Linked DNA regions of Drosophila melanogaster. The protein of the gene in region 1 purifies or fractionates together with the protein of each later gene. This does not show direct contact. Each region holds a gene or a part of one and is shown on either strand. Other genes may lie near its edges. The genes, in order: AP-1-2beta, prd1, Bub1 and Nak.

Region 1 (5,954 bases):
CGGCGAAAAGGGCTCTCAATTATCCGCTGAGTGTGCGCTCCGAAGAGTTACAATCCGTACTATCCGTACTATATGTACGGTCACCCACATAAATAGGCAATACCAATAACAAATGACAAATGTTACAGTACAGGCAATCCAGTAACTGCGGGCTGAAGCTGCTCGCTCTTCCACCTTTCGTTTCTTTCGATACCACCAAATTAAGATAAATGTTATGGGAATATGATAGTTTTAATAGATTTTCTACAGTTCCAATTTAAAGCGAATAACAACCAAGTCAACATAACGTGCAATATATATATTGATAAGTGTAAAGGGAAAACCAGAAGCTTCCGTTAACAAAAGTATGCATTTCACTACCACATATTGTTTCCGTACTTTTTTAATCCCTCGAACGGAGGATAAAATCCACTCCAAGGTCTATGCTCACTCAGAATCAGAAAAACTGGATAGGCAGAGGACGAACAAACCTAATCGCATCCACAAACACGCATAGACACGCACACAACAAAAAGAACCGGACAACAATAAGAGCAGCAATAAAAACGAAGATAAGGACGAAGAAGACCGTTCACTTAGGAGCCAAGCCTGATTATGAAAAAAAAAAAAACGAAATCGGAATAATCCGCATTTCATTGTTTTATTGATTCGAAATGGCTTTGGACGATTGTTTTCTTATTGATTGATTTTCCAGCTGAATATACCGGACCTAAGTTTTTGTTTATTTCATAAGACTGAATTACTGGAATATGATTTATTTAAACGTGTATATAATTAAGGTGTAATAGCGAACTTTACAACTTTTACTAATGAAACATCAAAATTTTTAAAGTTATTCCGAACTTATTTATTAAAAAAAAAAAAAAAATAGATGAAAGTGAGGAGAAGAAAAGAGGATACAAGTGATGAGAAAGTCGTGAGCGAATGAAGTTAATATGCAACTATTAATATACAATTTATATGGGAAAATCCCCATGTGAAAATGATGATATATATATATATATATATATATGTATATATATATTTCAATGGATCGATAAAAAGCAAATGAAATGAAAATGATGTTAAAATATAAGAAAACAAAACATTTTTTAATTCAATACTACTCTTGATTTGTTTTATGTGTTAATAACTTATTAAATGATATTTCTTGAGAATATTAAAAAATAAAATTGTTAGGATATTCAATTATGTTTATTTCAATGGGGGATCACGGAAGTCTCGGTTTTTGATAAGGCATCGAACAATTAAAAATTTCTATTAAAACATTCGTACATAATGTACTTTCCTTTCAGACTTAAAGGAGCGCATTTTATTGAAATAAATATTCTATTTCATGTTACTGCCGTCTTTCATTCTAATTTAATATTGAAAAAGGATATTGACATCAATTTTAGGTGAAGATATTGAACTTTTTAACATAAATAATTTGTAAATACAATTGAAAATTAAATTTTGTATAACATTATTATAAATAACAAAGTTAGCCTGTTGCTTTTACGATCCGTTACTTTTCAGATGTAATATAGCCATCTCACTCTAATTCGCTATATTGCTCTCTGGTGAGAGCGTCGACTTCGTTTTTCATTGAGATTTCAGTTTACTTCATTGGCTGTCCTTTATTTTATATCTGGAAAAATCTTCTGCATGATTTTCCTAATCTGAGCTCTTTTACGAGTAGGATATGTTGACCTTGATCAACACCAATTTCCAAAAAAAAGGAATTTAATGCACCCACTTATTTAAAAATGTTTCGATAATAACACAAAACATCAGTTTGCGATAAAATCGCAAAAACTAATCGATTTATCAAAATACTAAACAGAAAAAATACCAGCGCTTCGACAAGTCACTCCCCTGTAAACGGTCGCACTAATTGCAGATAGAAGAGAAAAGCTAACAAATCTTTGTGCCCGAAAATCAACTATTTGAAAGGTAATTAAAAGCAAGCTGCGTTGGCAGAAGTCTCCCCAAGTGGGCATAGGCGCAGTCCAACTGAGGGCTTCTTTTTCCCCTGGCCAGTTCTGAGTCATCCCGAAAATCGGGCCCCTTTTGAGACGTGTTCAAGCTGCGATAGGGGCGAATGTGTTGGTATTCGGATGATTCCGCCCCCAAGATGTGGTGTGGTGTTGTGAGGGGGGATTGCAATCAATAATCGCACTTCTTGTGCCGGAAACTCCACGTTCCCCTCTCTAAACTCAATCTCGATTCCAATTTCAGTACGCAGCTAGGAGCAGCAGCCACGATGACTGATTCCAAGTACTTCACCACCACCAAGAAGGGCGAGATCTTCGAGCTCAAGTCGGAGCTGAATAACGACAAGAAGGAGAAGAAGAAGGAGGCGGTGAAGAAGGTGATCGCCAGCATGACCGTGGGCAAAGACGTGTCCGCCCTCTTCCCGGACGTGGTCAACTGCATGCAGACGGACAACCTGGAGCTGAAGAAGCTGGTCTACCTTTATCTGATGAACTACGCCAAATCGCAGCCGGACATGGCCATCATGGCGGTTAATACGTTCGTGAAGGACTGCGAGGACTCCAATCCGCTTATCCGGGCGCTGGCCGTGCGCACCATGGGCTGCATTCGGGTGGACAAGATCACCGAGTACCTGTGCGAGCCGCTGCGCAAGTGCCTGAAGGACGAGGATCCGTATGTGCGCAAGACGGCCGCAGTGTGCGTGGCCAAGCTGTACGACATTTCAGCCACAATGGTGGAGGACCAAGGCTTTCTGGACCAACTGAAGGATCTGCTATCTGACTCGAATCCCATGGTGGTGGCCAATGCGGTGGCCGCTCTTAGCGAGATTAACGAGGCAAGTCAGTCCGGCCAGCCCCTCGTGGAGATGAACTCGGTCACCATTAACAAGCTGCTGACGGCGCTCAACGAGTGCACCGAGTGGGGCCAGGTCTTTATCCTGGACTCGCTGGCCAACTACAGCCCGAAGGATGAGCGCGAGGCGCAGTCCATCTGCGAGCGAATCACTCCGCGTCTGGCTCACGCCAACGCCGCCGTCGTTTTGAGCGCCGTCAAGGTGCTGATGAAGTTGCTCGAGATGCTGTCCAGCGACAGCGACTTTTGCGCCACGCTCACCAAGAAGCTGGCTCCGCCATTGGTTACGTTGCTCTCCTCAGAGCCGGAGGTGCAGTATGTGGCCCTGCGCAACATCAATCTGATTGTCCAGAAGCGGCCAGACATTCTCAAGCACGAAATGAAGGTGTTCTTCGTGAAATACAACGATCCCATTTACGTGAAACTGGAGAAGCTAGACATTATGATCCGCCTGGCCAACCAGAGCAACATCGCCCAGGTGCTTAGCGAGCTGAAGGAGTACGCCACCGAGGTGGACGTGGATTTTGTGCGCAAGGCAGTCCGCGCCATCGGGCGATGCGCCATTAAGGTGGAGCCCTCAGCCGAACGCTGCGTGTCCACGCTGCTTGATCTTATCCAGACCAAGGTCAACTACGTGGTGCAGGAGGCCATTGTGGTCATCAAGGACATCTTCCGCAAGTACCCCAACAAGTACGAGAGCATTATCAGCACGCTGTGCGAGAATCTGGACACTCTGGACGAGCCGGAGGCACGCGCATCAATGGTTTGGATCATTGGCGAGTACGCAGAGCGCATTGACAACGCGGACGAGCTGCTTGACAGCTTCCTTGAAGGATTCCAGGTAAGTTTTTCTCTGGATTTGCCAACATTATCAGGACTTTGAATTGCTATTTTCTCTTTCGCCAGGATGAAAATGCACAGGTGCAGTTGCAGCTGCTGACGGCCGTGGTTAAGTTGTTCCTCAAGCGCCCGTCGGACACCCAGGAGCTGGTGCAGCACGTACTATCATTGGCTACCCAGGATTCGGACAACCCCGATCTGCGTGACCGTGGCTTCATCTACTGGCGTCTCCTGTCCACGGACCCGGCCGCCGCCAAGGAGGTGGTGCTGGCCGATAAGCCACTCATCTCAGAGGAGACCGACCTTTTGGAGCCGACATTGCTGGACGAGCTCATCTGCCACATTAGCTCGCTGGCCAGCGTTTATCATAAGCCTCCCACCGCGTTCGTGGAGGGTCGCGGAGCCGGTGTGCGCAAGTCGCTGCCCAACCGAGCCGCTGGATCTGCAGCTGGTGCAGAGCAAGCAGAAAACGCAGCCGGCTCAGAGGCAATGGTCATTCCCAACCAGGAGTCGCTCATTGGAGATCTGCTCTCCATGGATATCAACGCACCCGCCATGCCATCTGCTCCGGCCGCCACCAGCAATGTGGACCTTCTGGGCGGCGGTCTTGATATACTCCTCGGTGGACCGCCAGCAGAGGCGGCTCCCGGCGGTGCCACCAGCCTGCTAGGCGACATTTTTGGACTGGGCGGAGCAACGCTATCGGTGGGTGTTCAGATTCCCAAGGTCACATGGCTGCCAGCGGAGAAGGGCAAGGGACTCGAAATACAAGGAACGTTCTCACGCCGCAACGGCGAGGTGTTCATGGACATGACTCTGACCAACAAAGCCATGCAGCCGATGACTAACTTCGCCATCCAACTGAACAAGAACAGCTTCGGCCTGGTGCCCGCGTCGCCCATGCAGGCTGCTCCCCTTCCACCCAACCAATCGATCGAGGTCAGCATGGCCTTGGGCACCAACGGACCCATTCAGCGCATGGAGCCGCTCAACAACTTGCAGGTGGCCGTGAAGAACAACATCGACATCTTCTACTTCGCGTGCCTGGTGCACGGCAACGTGCTGTTCGCCGAGGATGGGCAGTTGGACAAGCGCGTGTTCCTCAACACCTGGAAGGAGATCCCCGCCGCCAACGAACTGCAGTACACCCTGAGCGGTGTAATTGGCACTACCGACGGCATCGCCTCCAAGATGACCACCAACAACATCTTCACCATCGCCAAGCGTAACGTCGAGGGCCAGGACATGCTCTACCAGTCACTCAAGCTGACCAACAACATTTGGGTGCTGCTGGAGCTAAAGCTGCAGCCGGGCAATCCGGAAGCCACTCTCAGCCTCAAATCGCGCTCCGTGGAGGTGGCCAACATAATCTTCGCCGCCTACGAGGCCATCATCCGTTCTCCATAAGCGTTCCATGGCGCACATCCGATGGCATAGGATAAGCACAAAGCAATTGGAGCTATCGATTTGCGTGTGTTGAAGATTAGCTCAACAATAAGTTGTAAATTTACGTATTATTATTATATTGTGTATTGGCCGAATCGCCACCTACATATATTATTTATGCATATGCACACATATAAAATCCAATCGGGTTCGTCGAGAGATCTGTTAATTGTTAATCGGAGCTGCTTGTCACTCAGTGTACTAACGTGTAATAGCAACGTTGCATAACCGCATTCCAAAACTCTGTAACCCCATATGTCCTATGGTCGGCATCTATGTATATGTTTGTGTCCTAGTAAAATGCGAAACACTAAATAATTGTGACATTGTTTTCCTCGACGGCAGTTGCACTAAGCACAGTTTCTATTCGCTTTCAATGGTCATTTCTACAAGGTTCCAAATACGCATGATTATGATTTATGATTTTAGTATTATAATTAAAACTGTGTATTATAATATTTGTCCGTTCGTAAGCCTGAAAGATTTTTATACTTTCAGCTCAAAGTCAAAGTGCATCAAAGTAAGTTTTCTAAGTCGAAGATCTGAGAAAATAATTGCATCAGTTAGGTTAAAAGTCAATATATTGATCAATATTTAGGATCATTAAAATCCAAAACTAGGCTTGAAACTCAAAAGTTAGATTTGAAATATCATATTTACTTGAAAATTCGTTAAGGAGAAAGAGGTTTTCCTGCTGCAAATATAGAATCCATCAGATAGGAGTTGCAAAGCGCTTTTCCCGCGCAGATCAACTTTGCGTCAAACTATGGCCACGCCCACATTGGCCCACGTATGTAAGTGGAGCATTCTGTAGCGATTTGTACAGACACCCAAAGCTA
Region 2 (7,997 bases), on another chromosome or scaffold:
CACACTCATTCGGAATATAGGGTCCCACACAGCATAAACCCGACTTAGAGCCCAGAAAACCCTTTCCTCTGTAAACCCTTTCACCACTTGCAATTATTGAAAATGTCAAGGACCATCAGCGAGCTCAGAATAAATAAAAATTCGTTTTGTAATGGCGTTTATTGGTTTTATTAATTATCATGAGCTTTTAGTGGGCTGAAAGGCTTACAGCGAAATGTCGGGCGTTGGGAGGGGAATTTAATCTATGCTAATTGAAAAGGAGAGGCACAGCATTGCAAAATAAGATTAAGTCCACCATGCACACTTTTCCTAATACACATTTATAAATGTTTGTTTTGTTTATTTTATAAATAGCCACATATTGTTTGTCGTATATCATATGGATATGATCCTTGGACCAAAAGAGCACCCCCAAAACATAACATTACCGATTGATTACATGTCCAATATTCGTATAAGTTAGATTATGTATAATATTTTGTTTCTTATTATCTGTGCAATATTTGTACACAATGTATTTATAAAAGGTAAGAAATAACGAATGTAGAAAATCAATAGAAACTAAATATCCTACAAAAGAGCATACCAAAGATCAGCGACTTTAAGTTTAATATCACAAAAATTATTCAAATGAGATGTTACTAAGCGCAAACGAATGAATGAGTCAAGCGGAGGCACGCATTACAAAATCATAATACATAATACATACAGACTATATAAATATCAATACTTTTTGTTCTTTAGCTATTTGAGTATTCAGGATAGAATATTTAACGCTTGAGTAATGTATATGGAAATATAATTTTCTATTTGTAAATGGAGTATATATGGCCAGAGCCACGTTAACCCAGCGCAGCTGATAGCAAAGGCTCCCAGGCCCTATTTGTGTCCATATAAAGTTTATTATATTGCTCGGCCAGAGAGTCACCGTCGTCTAGTATGGTTATTGGAAATAGATCGTTCTGTAAAATTAGAATATTTCGTTATTGCTAAGGAAAGGTTTAGTAGTCAACGAGAAACATACATTCTTAGACTGCCAAAGCTGCTCTAGCAACCGCAGGAAACGTTGCATTTCCATGCTGCTGGCAAAGAATATAACCAAATCGTCCTGGTTTTCCAATGGTGCCTCCTGGCAGGAGAACTCCAGAATGCACCACCAAGTCTCGCTCCGCGAGGTTATCTTAATGCCAGTCATCTCTTTGATGTCCGCACAAGTTAGTATGGCTAAACCGGAGTTCTTTCCGTAAACACTGGTCATTCTTTGTGATTTTTCCGGCGAAGCTACAGTTTCTTTCGGAGCTGCATCTTCGTTTGTTTGCTTAGTAGGCGTAGAGCTTAACGAGGAATATGAATGTTGAGTGCCACGGGTAGGAGTACTAATGGTGGAACCCATCTAAAATTTTAAGTCCAAATGATTACGAAGTTTGATTTGCTAATACAATAAGCGCACTTACTAAGCTACTGGTTTCAAAAACACTGAGCATATCCTCCTCAAGCATGGTTTCTTTATTTCCCTGAACGGCTGCATTGTTATCCGCCTGCTGGCTTATTTTTCGTAGAGGAGCCGAAAAGTCTTCACGCAGGGTTATTAAATGGTTATCCGTGACGATCAACGTGCATCCAAGGGTTTTGTGCTTCTCCTCTTGAACCACAAGCTAAACACAACAAAAAGTTAAAACAAATCTTCTAATATTAATTGTCTACTTACGCCACTGGCTGATTGCAAAAGAGCCTGGAGCCACTCGGAGGCTACATACTCGTCGGGCGCAGCCATTTGCAGGACTTCGCCCTTTAGCGTAATCTCGAAGCAGTGGGGGCGCTCTGATTTCACAGTTCGCCGGGCGCCCTGACACTCGGCGAGGGCCATGGCCCAGCTGGGAAGCCTTTGGGTGGAATCGTTGAACATATACAATACGCCAGCTCTAAGAAATGAACACATATTAAATTGAATTCCTTCAAATATCGAGAGTTACGAACTTCAGTAAAAAGTATCCTGGTTGCCAAAATATTCTGTTCGCTGCTGAAGTGCTGATCGTCTGCCTAAGTCTTCGATGCATGAGGAATCCCTTCATTGAAGGTCCCAGCAGTTCGCTTGGCGATTCGACTCTCATTGACCCTCCAGCTGGCACATTAACCACTGCATAGAGCATCCAATGTTCTGCTACGCCAACACAGCTGTTGGCACGCACAAAAGCCTGCAGTGGAGCCAAATGTTCTAGAGTCAGCTGACCAACTGCAGGCAGAGTGGATCCACTGCGTCGGGCACACAACTCCAGGTTGGCTACCAGGGATCCGGCTGGATACGGACCACCCGCGAGCAGGACCTGCTGCATGTCTCGATTACTGTTGCTGAGCAAAACTGTGTTGCCAAAAGGTCCCATCTAAAAAATGATGTTGCATTAACTAATATATCACAGCAATGTCATCCGTTAACATTTACCAGTATGACATCCAAGTCCTTGTAGGCCAAAACAAACTTGACACACAGACTATTTCCTTCCATATTCACCACATACAGAGTTTTATCAGTGAGTAGGACAAGTACAGGTGTCATGATGCCATCTACATTGTAGCCTGTATACAGTTTGAAAGCCTGAAATGATAAGTTTTTATAATTGATTGCTATTTGCTACACAATTACAATCTACCTTCATTAGCTGCTCATTTGATTGTTTCAGATTGAACAAGGACTTTCCTTTGAATACATCAATTGAGATCTCCCCAATGCCAAGTTCGAAATTGGACAAGTTGCCTTGGAAATCGTTATCCAAACTAATGGCAAGTTCCCGTCGCGGCGAATTCGTGCCACACATCTCAATCTCCATGGCAATCTCTGCATTTAAGTCATCTATAAGCTCGTAGTTCTTTGGCCGAGCACCCTTCACATACAGATCGGATCCGGCATGCCTCTGTTCGGTTCTCAATTTATCGGCAAAGAAATTGTTCTTGCGTATGGAGGTTTCCATTATTTTCTTCTGTGTGACATTACGAAGGAACCTATTTATAAGTGAAGTTTTGGCCGCCGGAGCTGGCGGCTTCAGTAAGTGAGCATAGTCCACATCTGTGTAGTCTACGATGACCAAATCGCTGTCCATTGAGCGCGCATTAGTTGTATCTGTAGTGGTTATAGTTAGTATGTCGTCAAACTCTTCGCTGAGAATAGTGCTCTTTGAGTCGCGACCACTACCTCCTGGTCCTCCGCGTCCAGCGGCTAGGTAGGCACTGGGGCTGTGGAGGCTCCGACTTTGGTGAGGATGCTGTTGGTCGTAGTAACGGGGCGGCTGTAAGGGTTGTCCACGCTTCTTGAGCGGTGAAGGAAGGTGTCGAGACTGACGCTCCGCGTTGCCCAGCTGCGGATTCATTGCGATTTGATGGTTGCTGCTGGTGTTGGTGTTCGAACTAGGTTCGGATATGGTTGATGAGGAAAAGTTGCGCTGAAGTTTGCCCGCGGCTGGTGCTTGTTGCTGCGGCTTAGCGATTTTTGAAGCTATATAAGCATAATGAACAGTGTTAGTCATCGGGGAAAATATTAATTCAAATGAATATTATTTGCTCACCAAAATAGTTATCTGTGACTGCTTGCTCGTCCTTTGCAACTGGTGTGCTGTCTTTGAAGCTTCGAAAGAAATTACTAAACGTCTTGGCAATGGGAGCATCCAAAAATGATTTCTTAATTTGACTAGCGGCCGGCTCTGCGATGGGAGTGTTTTGCTCGAGCAGACTGGCTACACTGGTGTGCTGAATACCGGATGAGAGTTCGGATTGCAGATCCCCCGTCTCGTAGGATACTCCGGTGTGTTCGAAAACAGTGCTCTCACAATTAATTATAAACTTGCTGCGGAACTCGCCCTGTGCGCTGCCCATTGGCACTGTTTCCTTATCGAATTCCTCTTGGCGATGCAACATCAGTGACTGTTTTGACTCCATCGGCGAGGCTTCCGTGGAGCTGGCACCATCGTCTTCGTTCTTATGCCGCAATTGCTCATCAACGTTGTGCACGAATTTCTTAACTGGTTGTGCCTGCTTGCTGCCGTCGAGACTCTTGCTGAGGAATGGCTTAGCTCTAAGAGGCGGTGACTCGGCCGCCGGCCGCGATTTGTGCTCTGGTGTCTGTTCCAGCTCAGGGACGCATTCCACCACCGCCTGCAGGTCTTCGGAGCCCTCGGGAACTCCGCGCTCCGGCAATGGCATGGTAAAGATGCTCTTTAGCGATCCAAATATCATCTTGCTACTGTTGTCGAGCAGTTGGTGCTTAATGTCGTGCACGTTAAACTTTTTTACCCGCCCATTGAGATCCTGCTCGAGTATGACATTTGTATGTAGCTTAGTTTTCTTTAAGCAGCTTGATTTCGGCTTCTTCTCCTTATTCCATACGGACTTGACTTTGGGACTGTCAGCATCTCCGATATTGGGCTCTGAATAGTAGCAATTGTCACCTAATTGTGGGATAAAGATTAATGTGGATATACATCACAAGGATTTAAGCAGAATGTTATATAGCTTACCGATTAGATTGTTGTTAGCATTGCTCATACCAATGCAATCACATGAGCTGCTCTTAGCCTGCTCGTACTGCTTACAATTCGCATTGGAATTTTTGTCTTGTTCGTCGGAATCCAAACTGGAGTTGGAACTGCTGCACACGCACTTGTAAAGTTGGGGTTGCTCTTCCTGTTTTTGGGTCGCAGGGCCGTACTCAAAGACACCTGAGGTGTCATAGTGCAGACCGGGCGCCTCGTCCGTGTCAAAAATGTTGTCGTAGTCCAGCACATCCGAGCAGGCATTTCGGTAGACCAGATGTCTCTTTCGCCTGGCACCTCCGCCACCGGTAGCCTCCTCGCCATCGTCTTCCCTGCCAGCGGCACTGAGTTCATTAGGTCCCTCCGGACGTTCCCGATCCGGACACCAGGAATATCGTCCTGGAGCGCCGGCCACGCCCGCTGAGTTAGCGAAGGCCAACTTGCGTCCGTTCTTGTAGGTGATAAAGCCATGCTCAATGTGAATGTTGTCGGTACGAGTGTTCTTCAGTATGTCCTCGTGGAAGGACACTCGCTTTTTGGGAGTTTTGGAGGCGGACGAAGCTTTGTGCACTTTGCGACGGTATACAATCTTCTCCGTGGTGTCGAACGTAGAGCACTCGCTAATGGTCATAGACTCATCCGGCGCTGCAGTCACATTGGAGTTGGGATCCACCAAAGGGAGGGGCATCGGTCTAACGTTTTCCTCGTAGGAGCAAATGGACTCCACCATCACATCGCTGTTTTCCGAGTCCAGGAGTTGTACTCCCGAATCGCTGGGCGTGGTGTCCTCCATGGTGCTGCTGTTCAAGCTGGAGCTCATCTTGTCCATGCCCAAATTGTTGTTGGCCTTGGGCAACAGAGGTGATTCCATGGTCGTTTCGATTTTCGCACTTGTCAAGAGTTATCTACGCAGTGATTTTCGTCTATTAACCTACGGAAAATTGTAAAAGTCGGTAAACCATTATTTGTGTATCTCGGCGTTCTTGCTATTAATCAATATCCACAAGTTGCACAATGCGCCGCAGCAAATCGCGCCAGTGCACAAAGGAAAATGACCCCTGACCCAGCACCCCCTTGAAAATCGCACCGGGATTAAATTCACACACCGCTGCTTCTGTCACTCACCTGCGATTGTATCGCAGGATTCCATGTTACTGTCGATCTGGGTGGTTTACGTTTCCTTTTACGCTTGCTTTAAGAGTTTTATGTGCAGATTTATCGCCACTTGTACATTTTAGAATTGCCAAAAAAAAACGTCTTGGCAAGTGAAACAATCAATATTTTGACCTCATAGAGTTGCCAGTTCCGCGAACAGCTGATTGCGCGCCAGAGCTGCCAGATAAGAGAAGAGGTTGGCAACGCGGCCTGTTACAGCAACGGGAAGTTCCGGTTTTCAAATAATATTTTTGTAAATTTTAAAATTCAACAATTATTTAACACATTATGTAAAATGTTCCTGAAGAGTTAATTCAATTTTAAGACAAGTTTGTATTCGGCTTTTATTTAAAATATTGTAGAGCACGTATTTGCATTTCAAGAAAATTGGGATTTAAAGTTAAGAGCAAACCCAGAACAGTTTGTGAAAACGTACTTCGAAAGCAAATGCCGGAACATGCCGATAAACCCATTTTTGACATCGACAGTTGGCGCCCAGTTCGCTTGTTTCGCGCAGTCAAACGGTTTTTCATATTTCACAGATATTATTCGCAAATACAGAGTGGACATTTAAATTAATGCCCTTGTCAGTGGGTGCGAACATCATTTCCTCTTTGCCATTTCGCTAACCGGGGTCAGTTGTCAATTTGAAAAGTAGTGTAGTGTGGGCGAATGCCAATGAAAGCGAATGAAACCTTAGAAATCAATTTATCACACTTTGCAGCACATCACAATCGTCGCGATAACTCTGCCGTTTCTTTATTGGTTTTTGCTGCGCGACGAGTAAAATATAATTCCTCGCTTACTAATCCTCCGAGCAAGTTCATTCTCAAGCGCACCCAGAGATGAGCTACTTTGGGAATTGACATGGACTGCGGAGCAATGAGTGCCAGAGGAACAATATCAAAGCCGAAGGTAGTGTGTTCATAATGCAAAGCCCAACTAGCAAATTGGTAGAATTCAGGTGCCTGATTGCGTTGGCAATATATTTGCACGCGCTGGAGCAATCGATCCAGCACTGCCATTGTGTTCATGGTTACAGGTGAGTCCGAGTGCGTTTGCCCAGTTTCATCAGATTTACGCCACAGGGCTGTTCTGTTCCACATATGCAGAAATAACACGGAGAGCGCCGAGCTGGTCTCCCACTACGAGTCGAGTCTTTCGCTCCCGGACATTTTGCCCATTCCCTCAAAGACGTACGACAAGAACCGGGCTCCCAAGCTCCTCGGCCAGCCCACAGTAGTCTACTTCCATGTCACGGTCCTCTCCCTGGACTCCATTAACGAGGAGTCTATGGTCAGTAGAATGTGTTCATCTTTTCAATACTCATCACTCAGCAAACACTAATTGGCTTATCATGCTCCTTTAGACCTATGTGACGGACATCTTCCTTGCACAAAGCTGGCGTGATCCTCGCCTGCGGTTGCCTGAGAACATGAGTGAGCAGTATCGCATATTGGATGTCGACTGGTTGCACAGCATTTGGCGGCCCGATTGCTTCTTTAAGAACGCCAAAAAGGTCACCTTCCATGAGATGAGCATTCCCAATCACTATCTCTGGCTGTACCACGACAAAACGCTGCTCTATATGTCCAAACTCACGTTGGTCCTGTCGTGCGCCATGAAGTTTGAGTCCTATCCGCATGACACGCAAATCTGCTCCATGATGATCGAGAGTTGTAGGTGGAAATGTAATGGTTATCTACACCCTGCAAATCCCGTATCGCTTGGAACTTTCCATTCCGCTTCTCGAATTACAAATAATCTGTGTTGAACCGAGTTTTGATTGGCAGTATCCCATACGGTGGAAGATTTGGTTTTCATTTGGAACATGACCGACCCACTTGTGGTTAACACGGAGATTGAGTTGCCGCAGCTAGACATATCAAATAACTACACAACCGACTGTACTATAGAGTACTCAACAGGTAAGACTAAACTATTAAAAGCCATTTTTTTCAATATAATTTATATTTATTTTATCTCTAGGTAACTTCACCTGCCTGGCCATTGTGTTCAACCTGCGCCGACGCCTGGGTTACCATTTGTTCCACACCTACATCCCCTCGGCTCTGATTGTGGTCATGTCTTGGATATCGTTTTGGATAAAACCAGAAGCGATACCCGCCCGTGTAACTCTGGGAGTGACCTCACTGCTAACCCTGGCCACCCAGAATACCCAGTCGCAACAATCGCTGCCGCCGGTTTCGTATGTCAAGGCTATAGACGTCTGGATGTCGTCCTGTTCGGTGTTTGTATTCCTTTCTCTGATGGAATTTGCAGTGGTCAACAATTTTATGGGACCGGTGGCCACAAAGGCAA
Region 3 (6,528 bases), on another chromosome or scaffold:
GCTAGCTTCTCAATTATCGGATCTGTTAACTGACCGCCGGATCGGCGGTAATACAATCGTGTTCCCATTTTGATTTAGACTAAACTGCCCAGGTGAATGTGTCGCGTATTTATACAGGACATTGTAACCATCTACCTGATAAGGATCATGCAGGATCAGGTAGTCGAGAACAGTTGGGAGTCGTAAAAAAGTGTCAATTGCATCTATGATTTTATGATCGCCAGCTGCCGCCGTGCTAATCCGCGTGCTGATTATGATATTCGTACCCTAAGGTGTCCTAAATTTGCCCAGAAGTTTCCAAATCAGATAAGCGGAGGTTTGAAGTAAATGTGCATAATCCTTGCAAATTAGCACGTAGATGGTAGCACTTCTTTGAGTATTAAGTAATGGCTTTGTTCATCTATAGACTGCTAGAAATGTGTTCATTAGATCAGTGTTTTATTAATAGGGAAACCCACACGGTTCCAAATCCGTGTCAAAATTGAATTACTATCTCTAATAAGTGGCTGGCAAACATTCCGTAATTATCTGATGTTGCTTGATGGGTAATTAAAGCGCAATTACAGATAAAACGTATGTTGTTTTATGCGAACCTGTCGCGTTAGCTTATAGCAAATATTATCTTTATACTATATAAGTTAATCTATAGCGTGATCGATTCTTTGTGCTATCTCACCAATGAAACCCGATGACGTATTACCATCGAACTCGGAGCCCAGGAAGTTGAGTAGCGCCTCCTTGAACTGGCCAAAGGACACGCCCAGCTGATGGCTGCCGCCCAGGCTGGCGATCAGTGCGGATCCCTGATCCCGGAGCTCCAGCAGTGAGCAGAGCTTCAGCAGGGACTTCTCGTCCAGAAGTCCACACTGCGTCTCGCAGCTGCGGAACATTTGGTAGAGCTTCTGCTCGTACGGATCGGCGGATACCTCCATTATCCGTAACCCGGGGAATTCAGTTTGCTGCCGTTCCAATCGATCGGCTGCTCAATTGCGTTTTCACTTCGCTTTTTTTTTCTTGGGGGGAAAATCCACAAACGCAGTCAGGGGTCGAAAACAAGAAAAGTGAAATATCGGGGTCTATGTGCGTGGGTGGCGGGGGAATCACGCGTGTTTTTTGGACAGCAGGCTGTTTGAGGGGTTACTAATACTACTAATCTATGATATGCACTTCGGAACGCAACATAAACACTCGCGGGTTTGCGGTTTTTTTGGGAATAGCGTAATTTCTAGCGAGTTGATAAAAAACAATAATGCAGTAATAGCGAGCACGGTGGCGCGCTCTGGAGGGCATTAAGCAAACTTGCATCGGAGGTGGCACTATCGTGGACCATTGTTCCTATCGTTATACAACTATCGTTTAGGATTTGAATATTTATATTACAAAATAAATAGATAACAAGGGAGAACGTAATGCCATATAATAAATCGCTAACTTTACTTGGAAAGCTTCAGCTCCAACCAGACCCCTTATTAAAGTAGAAAACTTGACATAAATTGAAATCATCCGATTAACATGTTGTTTTCCAATAATAGATTATAATTATACAAAAAGTATATCAAATAGGAAGTGCTTCATAGCACACACACATATATTGTGCGTCATTCAAACTACAATAATTTAAAACAAAGAACCCTATAGTTTTATTAATAAAATTGAACTTTGGCAACAAATAAATAAATAAAAAGTAAAGTTGTACAAAAAATTGCTTTTGTTTAAAAATTCCCAACAACACGTTTCTATCGCACTATCGATAACCTTGTGCATAGCCATCGTCAACAGTGACAGCCAATGGTTCTATCGATTGTTTGGCAGCACTAATAAATTCCATTTGCAAGCTGAAAAGCAAGAAAAAATACAAAATATCTTTGAGCATTGCAAACTGTTGAAAAATCCAACTGAAAATCATGTGTATGTGCCACCAGTGACAGCCGAAGACGCCGAGGGATTAACTGAGTTAGTGGACCCTAACCAGTCCAATCGGCAAGGGGCACTACATTCCGCAATCCGAGACTTTTTGGTGGTGACCCGTAGAAACCACAGTCTCGCATTCATTTGTTTGCATTACGGCGCAGCGGGATCAGAGGATTCCGCGTCCGGCCGAGATGGCCATGCACTCGTACATGCGCCAGGGATCGGGTTCCGGAGGAGGAGCAGGAGCAGTCGCAGCTGGAGCACCGCCGCTGGCCAGCCCGGACGAGATGCACGGCTTCCTGAACGACAAGCAGGCTTGGGAGCACGCCATATCCCTGTACCAGGGTCCTGATCCACTCGATCATTGGTACAACTACATCTGCTGGTACGAGAATCACGCGCAAAGCGATCCGGAGCTAAAGTACCGCGAAACTCTGGAGCGCTGCCTGACGGTGTATGAGCACAATGACTACTATCGCCAGGATGTCCGTTTGGTGCGGCTGTGGCTGAAGTACATAGCCATGCAAACGGATCCACTCCATTTCTACCAGGTGCTTTTTCAGCGAGGAACTGGTCGCCAGGTGGCCGCCTTCTACATTGGATGGGCTGCCTATTACGAGTCTCGCGAGGAGTATAAGGATGCGGAGGCGGTGTTTAACTTGGCCTTCCAGGAGAAGGCGCAGAGCACTTCCGAGCTGCAGCACGCCCACACCAAGTTCGCCTATGCCAGGTCTCTTTTTTACCAGCGGCAACAGCAGCAACAACAGCAACAACAGCAGCACCAGCAACATCCCCCGCAGGATGCACTGCAGCAACTCACGAACTATGCACAGCAGCAGATGCCACAGAGCTATAATCAACACCGTCCCCAGCCATATCAGCAGAATGTCTATCAGCAATATCATCCGCAGGCGCAGGCACATCAAGCCCCACAGCCTCATCAGCCGGCGCCACAACAGCAACTGCCGCCAGAACAACAGGTCCCCTATCAGACACACTACCAGGAGCGGCCGCGCTATGAACCACATCCTGCAACTCAGTCCCCAACAGCAATACCACCATCCCAAGTCCAGCAACAATCGCATTATGCTCCTGTGGCAGAGGTGAGCATTAAATTTAATATCAAAGCTACTTGATAAATACTCCTTTTTTGTTTTAGTCCCATTATGCACCAGCCCAACAGTCACAGTTGCCGCCGCAACAAACTACAGTACCGCAGTTGCACGCACAGCAGCCGCAGCAGCAACAAAACGGCAACGGCAATCCACCTCCTCAACAAAGTCCTCCGGTGACAAATGAAGTGGCTGGCCTACGCTTGCCGCGCAATTTCCACGCCTACGGGCGCAACAACCATGAGACATGGAAGCCGGCTCTAACGCTTGAAGAGCCTGATGATCCCTCGCGCGTGTGCCACTATGCCAAGCAGTTGGTATATCCACCAGGAGCAGGCGTCGAGTACAGTCCCGAAGAGATACTAGCCCGCAAGTTTAAGCAGTTAATGGATCAAAAAGCCAAGCCATCGGAGCCGCCAGAACAAGAACAGCAAACTCTTTATGATTCCTACGAAACTGAGAAATCTTACTATATGACTGCTGTGGATGGAGCTCTTTACGGGCAGAACACCAGCAGTGGTCAGGAGAATACAGGTGAGGAAGATGAGGACAATGACGCCGAGGAGGGAGAAGAGGAGGAGGATGGTGGTGAAGAGAACGAGGAAGATGACTCTGATGAAGAGGAGGAAGACGATGAAGAGGAAGAGGAGCATAGCGGACCGTACACAAATGGCGTGCAGTTCAGTGCGCAAACCACTTTCGAGCAAGAAAATCGATCGATTAAGATCAAGTTCAGGAAGGAGCCCAGCAGCACCTACAGTGCCTATACCATAGAGAATGTTTACCAGCAACAACAGCAGCAGCAGCAGGAGCAGCATCAAATAATCCATCAGCCTCCGCAGGCAGTACATCATCCTTCGCCGGACCCGGCACCTGCTTCTCCGATTCCCATCCAGCGTCAACGCAACGGAAGCCACCACCACTTCCATCCCTACATGCTGGGCCAGACCTCGACGCCGAAGAGCGAGGCGAATGGCTATCGCAGGGCACGCACCAAAGTTAAGCGCAGCAAGTTCCAGCCGGATCTCTGCAGCAACAGCAACTCGGCATCCTCGGTGGCTGATGTGGCCTCGAGTAGTGTGCTCGCCGGAGCACCTGGCACATTTAATGACAATGCAAACTTTTCGTTCTCCAGTGCCACAGCTTTGGATAACTCAAATAGCTCGCTGGCCTTGGCTGTTGATAGACTTAACTTCCGCGACACATCGCAACAGCAGATCCTCCATCCGGTCAATAAGACCTTACAAATTCACAACAACAACAATAACACCAGCAACAACAATAATGGCACTAGCACCATGGCCGATTTCTCCACATTTCAAGAGAACTCGTACTTCGCCACTCAGCACGACACGGAGGCCCAGGAGCGTCGGCTATCGAAGGCCGTTGAAACGATAGCCCGCCACATGGACAAGGAGGCCATCGATCCGTTCAACAGCGAACTGTGCCGCGCTTTTCTCGCCAAGCTAGATTTTCCGGGTAATCACGATGCCCATGCCAGTTACAAGATTGTCCAAACGCCACTGCCAAAAATATCCAACACTCGCACGCTGAACGTCCTGGAAGGCGTTACCTTTAGCATCGACAAGGAGGTGGGTCGCGGCTCATATGGCTCGGTTTATAAAGCCACTGATTCTCGGACCGGCAATGTAGTGGCGCTCAAGTATCAGAAGCCCCCAAACACCTGGGAGATATACATATGTGATCAGGTAAGAAAAATTATATTTACCACTTATATTAAAGTTTTTTTTTGCCAAAAAGATTTGGGTGTTAATACATATTGCGTGTTTTAGGTGCTGAAACGCATCAAGGAGCCAGAGGTGTTGCCTGGCGTTATGGACATTTCCACGGCGATCATCGCCCCAAACGCTAGTCTAATAGCCACCGAGTTCTCACCGTTCGGTTCGCTGCTGGACATCAACAACAAGATCCGCCAGGCAACCACCAAAGTAATGCACGAATCGCTGGTGATGCACTTCTCCGCACAGATCTGCAATATCGTGGACCACCTGCATCGCCAGCACATCATCCATGCGGACATTAAACCGGACAACTTCCTGCTAATGCGTGTGCCCAATGTGGACAGTCCGTTGCCATCGCTACGTTTGATTGACTTCGGCTGTGCTATCGATATGACCCTGTTCCCGGACGGTGAGAAGACCAAGTTCCGGAAGGTGGTGCAAACGGATGGCTTCACCTGCATCGAGATGCAGGAGGGACGCAGCTGGTCCTACGAAACGGATCTCTTCTGCATCGCGGCGACCGTTCATGTGATGCTCTTCGGTGACTATATGCAGCCGCAAAAGAAGGGCTCCAGCTGGGAAATACGACAAAAGCTGCCGCGTTACCTCAAAAAGCATGTGTGGACCAAGTTCTTCGGGGATCTGCTCAACATGCAGGCGGACAAACTGCCAGCGCTGCATGAGATGCGTCTCATCTTCGAGGAGGAGGCGTACCGCATGGACTCCGAGCTGCAGAAGCAGATACGCACCCTATCCAACATCCTGCATCGACGATAACCAATCTATTCCTATTCCTTTCTGTTAAATTGTTTTGCATATAACTCTGTTGACCAAGTCACCCATTTATATTGTTTCAGTTTTTATTTTAAAACAATTTTCCCTCTTCAAAGATGATAAAACCAAACCGGGAAAAACTCCGCGTTCTAATTTTAAACTATTTTTCTGCGAACAAACTCCCTTTTATTTATTGTTTTGATGCCAAAAAAAAAAACGAAAGCAAAAAGTACGCTACAAAATTCAAAAACATTGTAAATATTAGGCACAGACTCGATCTAAAGCAACGTTTACGAAATGAGTTTGTGGAAAAAAGGCCCTGGATTTAAATGTAATTTTTTTATGTACAGCACAATAAAACAATATATTGAAGGCAATGTAAAAAAAAAAAGAATCGTACATAAATATGTTTAAGATTAGTGCTTGCTGTACTATTGAGTAATATATAAAGATCTTTAAATAATAGTGAATAAATTGACGAAATGTTAAAGCAAAAACCATATGAATTGCAGCGCGAAAAAGGAAAGCAGTGGTAACCCAGTTTCATAAATCAAATGCCAAAGTGGCGAACCCATAATGTGTGTGTTGCAGGCAATTGTCAATTTAGTGGGGGCATGCAACAAGTAATAGCAGCAACAGCAGCGCCAGCATCAACAACAATGCTGCGCTTGACCCACTTTTCCTTTTTGCCAGTCAACCAAACGGCGCACAATTTCCACCAAGCGACTGGAAAAAGTTGCAACTTTTCATGCAACACACACACACATCGACGGTTGGAAAAGCTGCAACAGGCACACAAAGTCAAAGTCGACGCCTGCGCTGCGGCTTTTTGTTGCTAGTTGCTTGAAACTCGAAGCTTGCAGCTTGTTGCTGGCTGCTCGTTCGCCAAGTGAAAGTAAAGTGGGACAAATGCAATTATTATTGCATCTAGTAACCGACTTAGAAGTCGTGGCGCGAAACTGCAACTTGCAGCCTATGCAGTATGCAGT
Region 4 (4,883 bases), on another chromosome or scaffold:
TGTGAGTAGACCGGGCAATATTCTGCCCATATCGTGATCTGCTAGATGATCTTTGTGAGCTACTTTAACCTGAATTTGAGTTGTGTTCATGGAAGGCAGGATTATAATGCGTGGGTTTAAACACTTCCAAGGAGGTTCCTTCTCAATTTCCCATTTAAACAGCTTCTGGAGTATCGCAGGTAATTCGTTTTTCATTTCTCTGTTGTCCAGACAACGCAAAATAATGGCAGAAATCTGCGATGACGCCGGTAATTCCATTGGAAGGCCATCGTAGAGTTGGAGCAGCAAAGGAAGGTAGGGAACGAGTAGATTACTGGGTAAGCAAGCTACGGTTGAAGAACAAAAGAGATGCTGCCATAAGAGAATGCGATTGCACAGTTCCTGGTGATCCATTAAGATAAGGCCATTAATAATGTCTTCTGGGTTACAAAGCGTTTCCCAGTGTTTGAATAATATTTCTTTTATCAGCTTTTGATTTGTATCACTTAAATCGTAAAGTCTTCTGAGCGATAGGACACCGGCGCACATTTTGTCCGCATTCTGCAGATAGAACTTACAATATTCTAGCACCTGGAGAACCATCTTCTCTTGCGCTAACTGAGAAAATCCTTTTCTGGCCACAATACTAGCCACAATTTCCGCATTTCTGGAAGAATTCACATTGGGATTTTGATGCAGGGCCTCAACAAGACTAGCAAATCCTTGGGGTAAGTGAAGCTTTCCTAAGAGTTGACGGTGCAATAATTGGGCCAGAGTTGGGCAGAGAGTCGTAGCTTTAAAAAGCAAGATGTTGCGAAAGAAATCTGCTTTGGATTCATATTGCCAGAGGTAGGCTATAGCCTTATCCAGCAGTGGAGAGTCTTGCTGCACACGTAGACTCACAATGGCCGCCAGTAGATCCCTTTGCACCAGCTCCATCGAGTTGGCTATGTGGTATTGTCGAATATGCAGTAGATTAATAAAGAACTGAATGCTTAGAAGCATCAATGAAAAGTTAGCTTTGATTTTCCCCTGAGCCTCACAAAAGATGGGCGACTTGTAGAAATCCTCATGTAGCTGGCATCGAAGCGAGTAATATGATAATTCTTGGGAAGCCTGGATACACAATTTCAGGTGCGCTACCGAAATAAGATCCTCCTTGGCGTCGCTGTGGAAATTAATGTTCCTCATGATCGAATGTAGCACATGTTGCAATCTTATTATATAGCATATAGTACGATCCGAATCGGGATCAATACTAGATTCGTGATCGTCTGTTAACTGATATTCCAGGCACAGCTCATGCAATTGCTGACCAATCTCGAGTTTAGCATATTTTTCCAAAATTCGCAGGTTGATTTCCAAGGCTTCGGCAGTCCCTGAGTTATTCGCCGTATTTGCTGTCGAAATATTAGTATTAGGGATACTACAATTATTATATGATGTTAACCAATTTACCTAGAGCTTTACTAAACCTTAAACTCTCTAGAAGAGCAAAGTACTTGGCCGTATTTATCATTGTTATCCCAGCAAACTACAATTTTGCGAATTTAGCGACCATTTGCTAGAGATGCTTGTTTACAATTGCACCAGCACAATCGATAACATATTGATAAGGGAAACACGATGTTGGCAGCATAGCTAATTAAAACTGCGCGATAGTTTAATGCAACTGTAGCTATATGTTTTATTGAAAGTAGAACCATATTATCTTTTTAAATTGGATCAAATTACAAAAAATTGTTATCATAAAACCTATTTTGTAAACGGGGATTTCCTTGTTTTCAGAATTTCGAGATTGCAACCAACTTATCTATATATCGATAGGCGGCTGCACCAGCCGCGGGTTGCGCATCTGACTGCAGCAAAGCGCCCTGGTCACACTGGCCCAACAACTCGAGAGCAGCAGGAAAATCGAACAACTTTCTTTTTCCACTGCATTGTGTGTGTGCATGCAAAAACACAAAGTGCGCAGAATAGCTTTATTCAGCTAGCCGATACGACTCGAAAGTGGATTAATTGGCCAGCGGCACCGACGCCCCGCCCACCGTCAGCCGCCCTCGCAAAATTAAAAATTGCCAAAAACACCTACGCGCAGGCAATTAAGACCGTGTTAGCTAGTGTGCGTGTGTGCTCGCGAGTGTGTGTGTGTGTGTTGTGCTGCTGGGGCAGTAAACATTTTCTAGTGAAAATCGGGGGAAAATGAAGAAAATCCTGTCTAAGTTCGAGCGCAATGAGAACTCTCGACTGGAGAATCCGCCCAACAGCAGCAGCTCGTCGTCCTCGAACGAGAAGAACAGCTTCGTGGGCAAGGTCTTCACAGTGGGACGCGTCACGGTCACCGTGGAGGATGTCCTGGCAGAAGGTAGACGACTATATATACACTCTTATATATGTGCTCCCATTCCCCTACCTACAACACGTCGCCCGCGATTATGCTTATCACCTGCCTGATTTACAGGTGGGCAGTAGCCTGCCGTCCGCTTTTCGGTCTCGCCCCTCGTCACAGATTAGATAAACCCCTTCAGCGCGAGAACTCCCAAATGTGGGGCGTACTCAAAGCGCTAGAGAGCATAAAAATCAGCTGCGTATCCTCCATAATTGGGGACACCACTTGTCGCATTTCCGATTAAATCCAAATAAATTACTCCCAATAATTTCTGTATAAGATGTTAAACTCAAAACAGCTAAAATCTGACTTTGATATATTATCTTTTAATAAAACTGTAAAACATTTTAAATTATTTCATTAATTATGAATACTAAATACTGGTTTGTAACCTAAATTCCAACTAATTGAACTGCAATTTTGCCCTTGGCATAGAACTACATATTTATGTCCATAACTCGGCTCTCTAATGGCGTGCAGATATTTCGTCCAAATTTATGTCAGTCTTTAAAGAGTTTATTTTTGCCAAAACCAGAAATGCCAGCATTTCTATTGTGACAAATGGGTGTCCGCGTTAGAGAAACCCGACTGTACAAACACAGTTACGGTTCTGGTTGGTTTTTCCATGGAATACCCATTGAATTCCCGTAGCCACTACACATGGCCACAAATCAATTGAATCAATTATGTTAATTTAGCCAATGAAGCGGCAAGACCAACACTCATCAGCCGACTGTCTCCGACAGTCTTCCGTTTTTCACCTTTCGCCGAGCTAAATGGCAAAGTTCGCCCCTAAGGAAATCGCCTGTGCTGTGTCCTTGTCCTTGAAATGCGGAGTGCTCCACTCCACATCATCCTGCAGTGCAAGTGCCTCCTTGTTGGCCTGGCACCAGTACCCTCCGCCCAACATTTGATCATCTAACGATTGCTCACCCACCGCCTGGCCAGCCATTCGCCACCTTTCCTTTAGCCATTACGTAGTGTTTTTTACTTTTTATACTTTTGGCAAGCGGACTCGATTCGTAATTTTGTTTTGCGCTGCGCTGGCGCCGCTGGCAATTAGTCAGCTGTTGTCGGGCATACCCTGTAATTAAAAAGGCGGAGCGTTTGACGAACACGGTTATTTGGTTAAAGTTATTGAATTAGTATAACAAATTATAAACTAAATTATATATTATTTATTAATTCATTTAATCCAGTAACGTAACTATTGGTATTTCATTTAAGAAAGAGAAAAAATAAATAGAGTCTTTTGCAGATGCTCAATGAATAAAATGCGCGTATAGCCAAGTTTAAACTGCTCGATATGCTGGATACTTCCAAAGTAACACTGTGCTTAATCACCTTCAATATTTACCTGCTTTCTTTGATTCGATTTTTGAGCAGCCAACAACAATTACAAATGACTAAGCGACAAACGGTTAACGAATGAAGCTTTCCCGCCTTAACCCCTCAGCCCCCACCCTTAACCGCTTACTGCCCACCTTGCAGTTGACGCCCCTTCAGACGTATTTTCTACCCTCGTTTGCGTTTCGAATTGCCTTCTCGCGTTTTCTCGCATCGCTACAATTGTGCATTGTTATTGTTGCTTTTCATACTATTATTACTGGATGTTGTTGCTGTACTTTTTGCCAATGTTGATTTGTTGCTGTTGCAACCTTCAGCATTGATTAACATTTGACGCCATAATTTCACAAAGTCGAGCAAAAATGGTTACATTTGCTGGTCCGCTATTCACTTCTCTCTATCGCCTACACAGGGAGAAATGGTGTGTGCATTTACAGCAAATGTTCCATAAATATTTTCAATATTAAAACATTCTCCTAATCGTTGCATCGTCTATGCATCTAATGTATTGAGATCATTTTTTTTTCTAATATCATTTCATTTTATATCTAATATATATTTTTATGTTTTTTTCTTAGTGACCACTGTTCCTATCTTTTTATTTTGCCGCCCCACCGCCTTCCCCCGCTGAGTATTGTTATTGTCGCATGTTATTGTTGTTATTTCTGTACGTGACCTTCAATAGTTTAGTTTATATTGCGTTGCCTTTTTATCGTACATTTTGAAGTGGCGTAAAGCGACAGGTGGAGAGGGCTGAAATGTGGGGGCATTCTACTTGAAATTCTATTTGCAATAAACTGAAATAAACCTCATGCAAATGGCCTGTTAGGCAAAACATGTGTAAATCGTTCCATGGCCAGACAGTAACTGCTATCACTCGAATTCGGGTACCCTCTACTATTTTAACACCACGGGGGGATATTTGTGAACGTGAAATGTTTATAGTAAAGAAATTCCATTATTATCACGTAGATATATGGCATAAATTATGTGGGAAGGAATGGCCAAAGATACGTGTGCTATAAAAATGTGACACATATTTCCTTTTAATAAACAAATTAGTTTATTAATTAGCTACTTCCTGCCATATAAAATAAAATATTCGTATATATGTATTATGAATATACAATAACAGGGTATTCATCGGGTTTAGCTTACTCGCAGTTTC

The links.
Region 2: the proteins of AP-1-2beta (region 1) and prd1 purify together in Drosophila melanogaster (affinity purification with western blotting; one study listed by BioGRID). This does not show direct contact.
Region 3: the proteins of AP-1-2beta (region 1) and Bub1 purify together in Drosophila melanogaster (affinity purification with western blotting, with the first as the bait; one study listed by BioGRID). This does not show direct contact.
Region 4: the proteins of AP-1-2beta (region 1) and Nak purify together in Drosophila melanogaster (affinity purification with mass spectrometry; 2 studies listed by BioGRID, with this or other methods). This does not show direct contact.

Annotation. Positions count from the first base shown.
Region 1 is NC_004354.4:19,729,155-19,735,108, forward strand, and holds AP-1-2beta (adaptor protein complex 1/2, beta subunit), read left to right. Parts: upstream 1-1,849; 5' UTR 1,850-1,935; intron 1,936-2,220; 5' UTR 2,221-2,245; coding exon 2,246-3,670; intron 3,671-3,735; coding exon 3,736-5,076; 3' UTR 5,077-5,427; downstream 5,428-5,954.
Region 2 is NT_033777.3:11,780,978-11,788,974, forward strand, and holds prd1 (pruning defect 1), read right to left. Parts: upstream 6,038-7,997; 5' UTR 5,646-6,037; intron 5,452-5,645; 5' UTR 5,392-5,451; coding exon 4,506-5,391; intron 4,437-4,505; coding exon 3,558-4,436; intron 3,488-3,557; coding exon 2,649-3,487; intron 2,594-2,648; coding exon 2,441-2,593; intron 2,382-2,440; coding exon 1,978-2,381; intron 1,923-1,977; coding exon 1,709-1,922; intron 1,656-1,708; coding exon 1,455-1,655; intron 1,394-1,454; coding exon 1,025-1,393; intron 963-1,024; coding exon 843-962; 3' UTR 154-842; downstream 1-153. Other genes in the region: HisCl1 (Histamine-gated chloride channel subunit 1), read left to right, coding at 6,605-6,717, 6,788-6,971, 7,045-7,354, 7,469-7,603, 7,665-7,997.
Region 3 is NT_033779.5:5,277,258-5,283,785, forward strand, and holds Bub1 (Bub1 kinase), read left to right. Parts: upstream 1-1,795; 5' UTR 1,796-2,102; coding exon 2,103-3,014; intron 3,015-3,070; coding exon 3,071-4,732; intron 4,733-4,816; coding exon 4,817-5,542; 3' UTR 5,543-6,026; downstream 6,027-6,528. Other genes in the region: Nin (ninein), read right to left, coding at 677-932.
Region 4 is NT_033779.5:18,965,714-18,970,596, reverse strand, and holds the start of Nak (Numb-associated kinase), read left to right. Parts: upstream 1-1,852; 5' UTR 1,853-2,181; coding exon 2,182-2,344; intron 2,345-4,883. Other genes in the region: Tango6 (transport and golgi organization 6), read right to left, coding at 1-1,379, 1,438-1,498.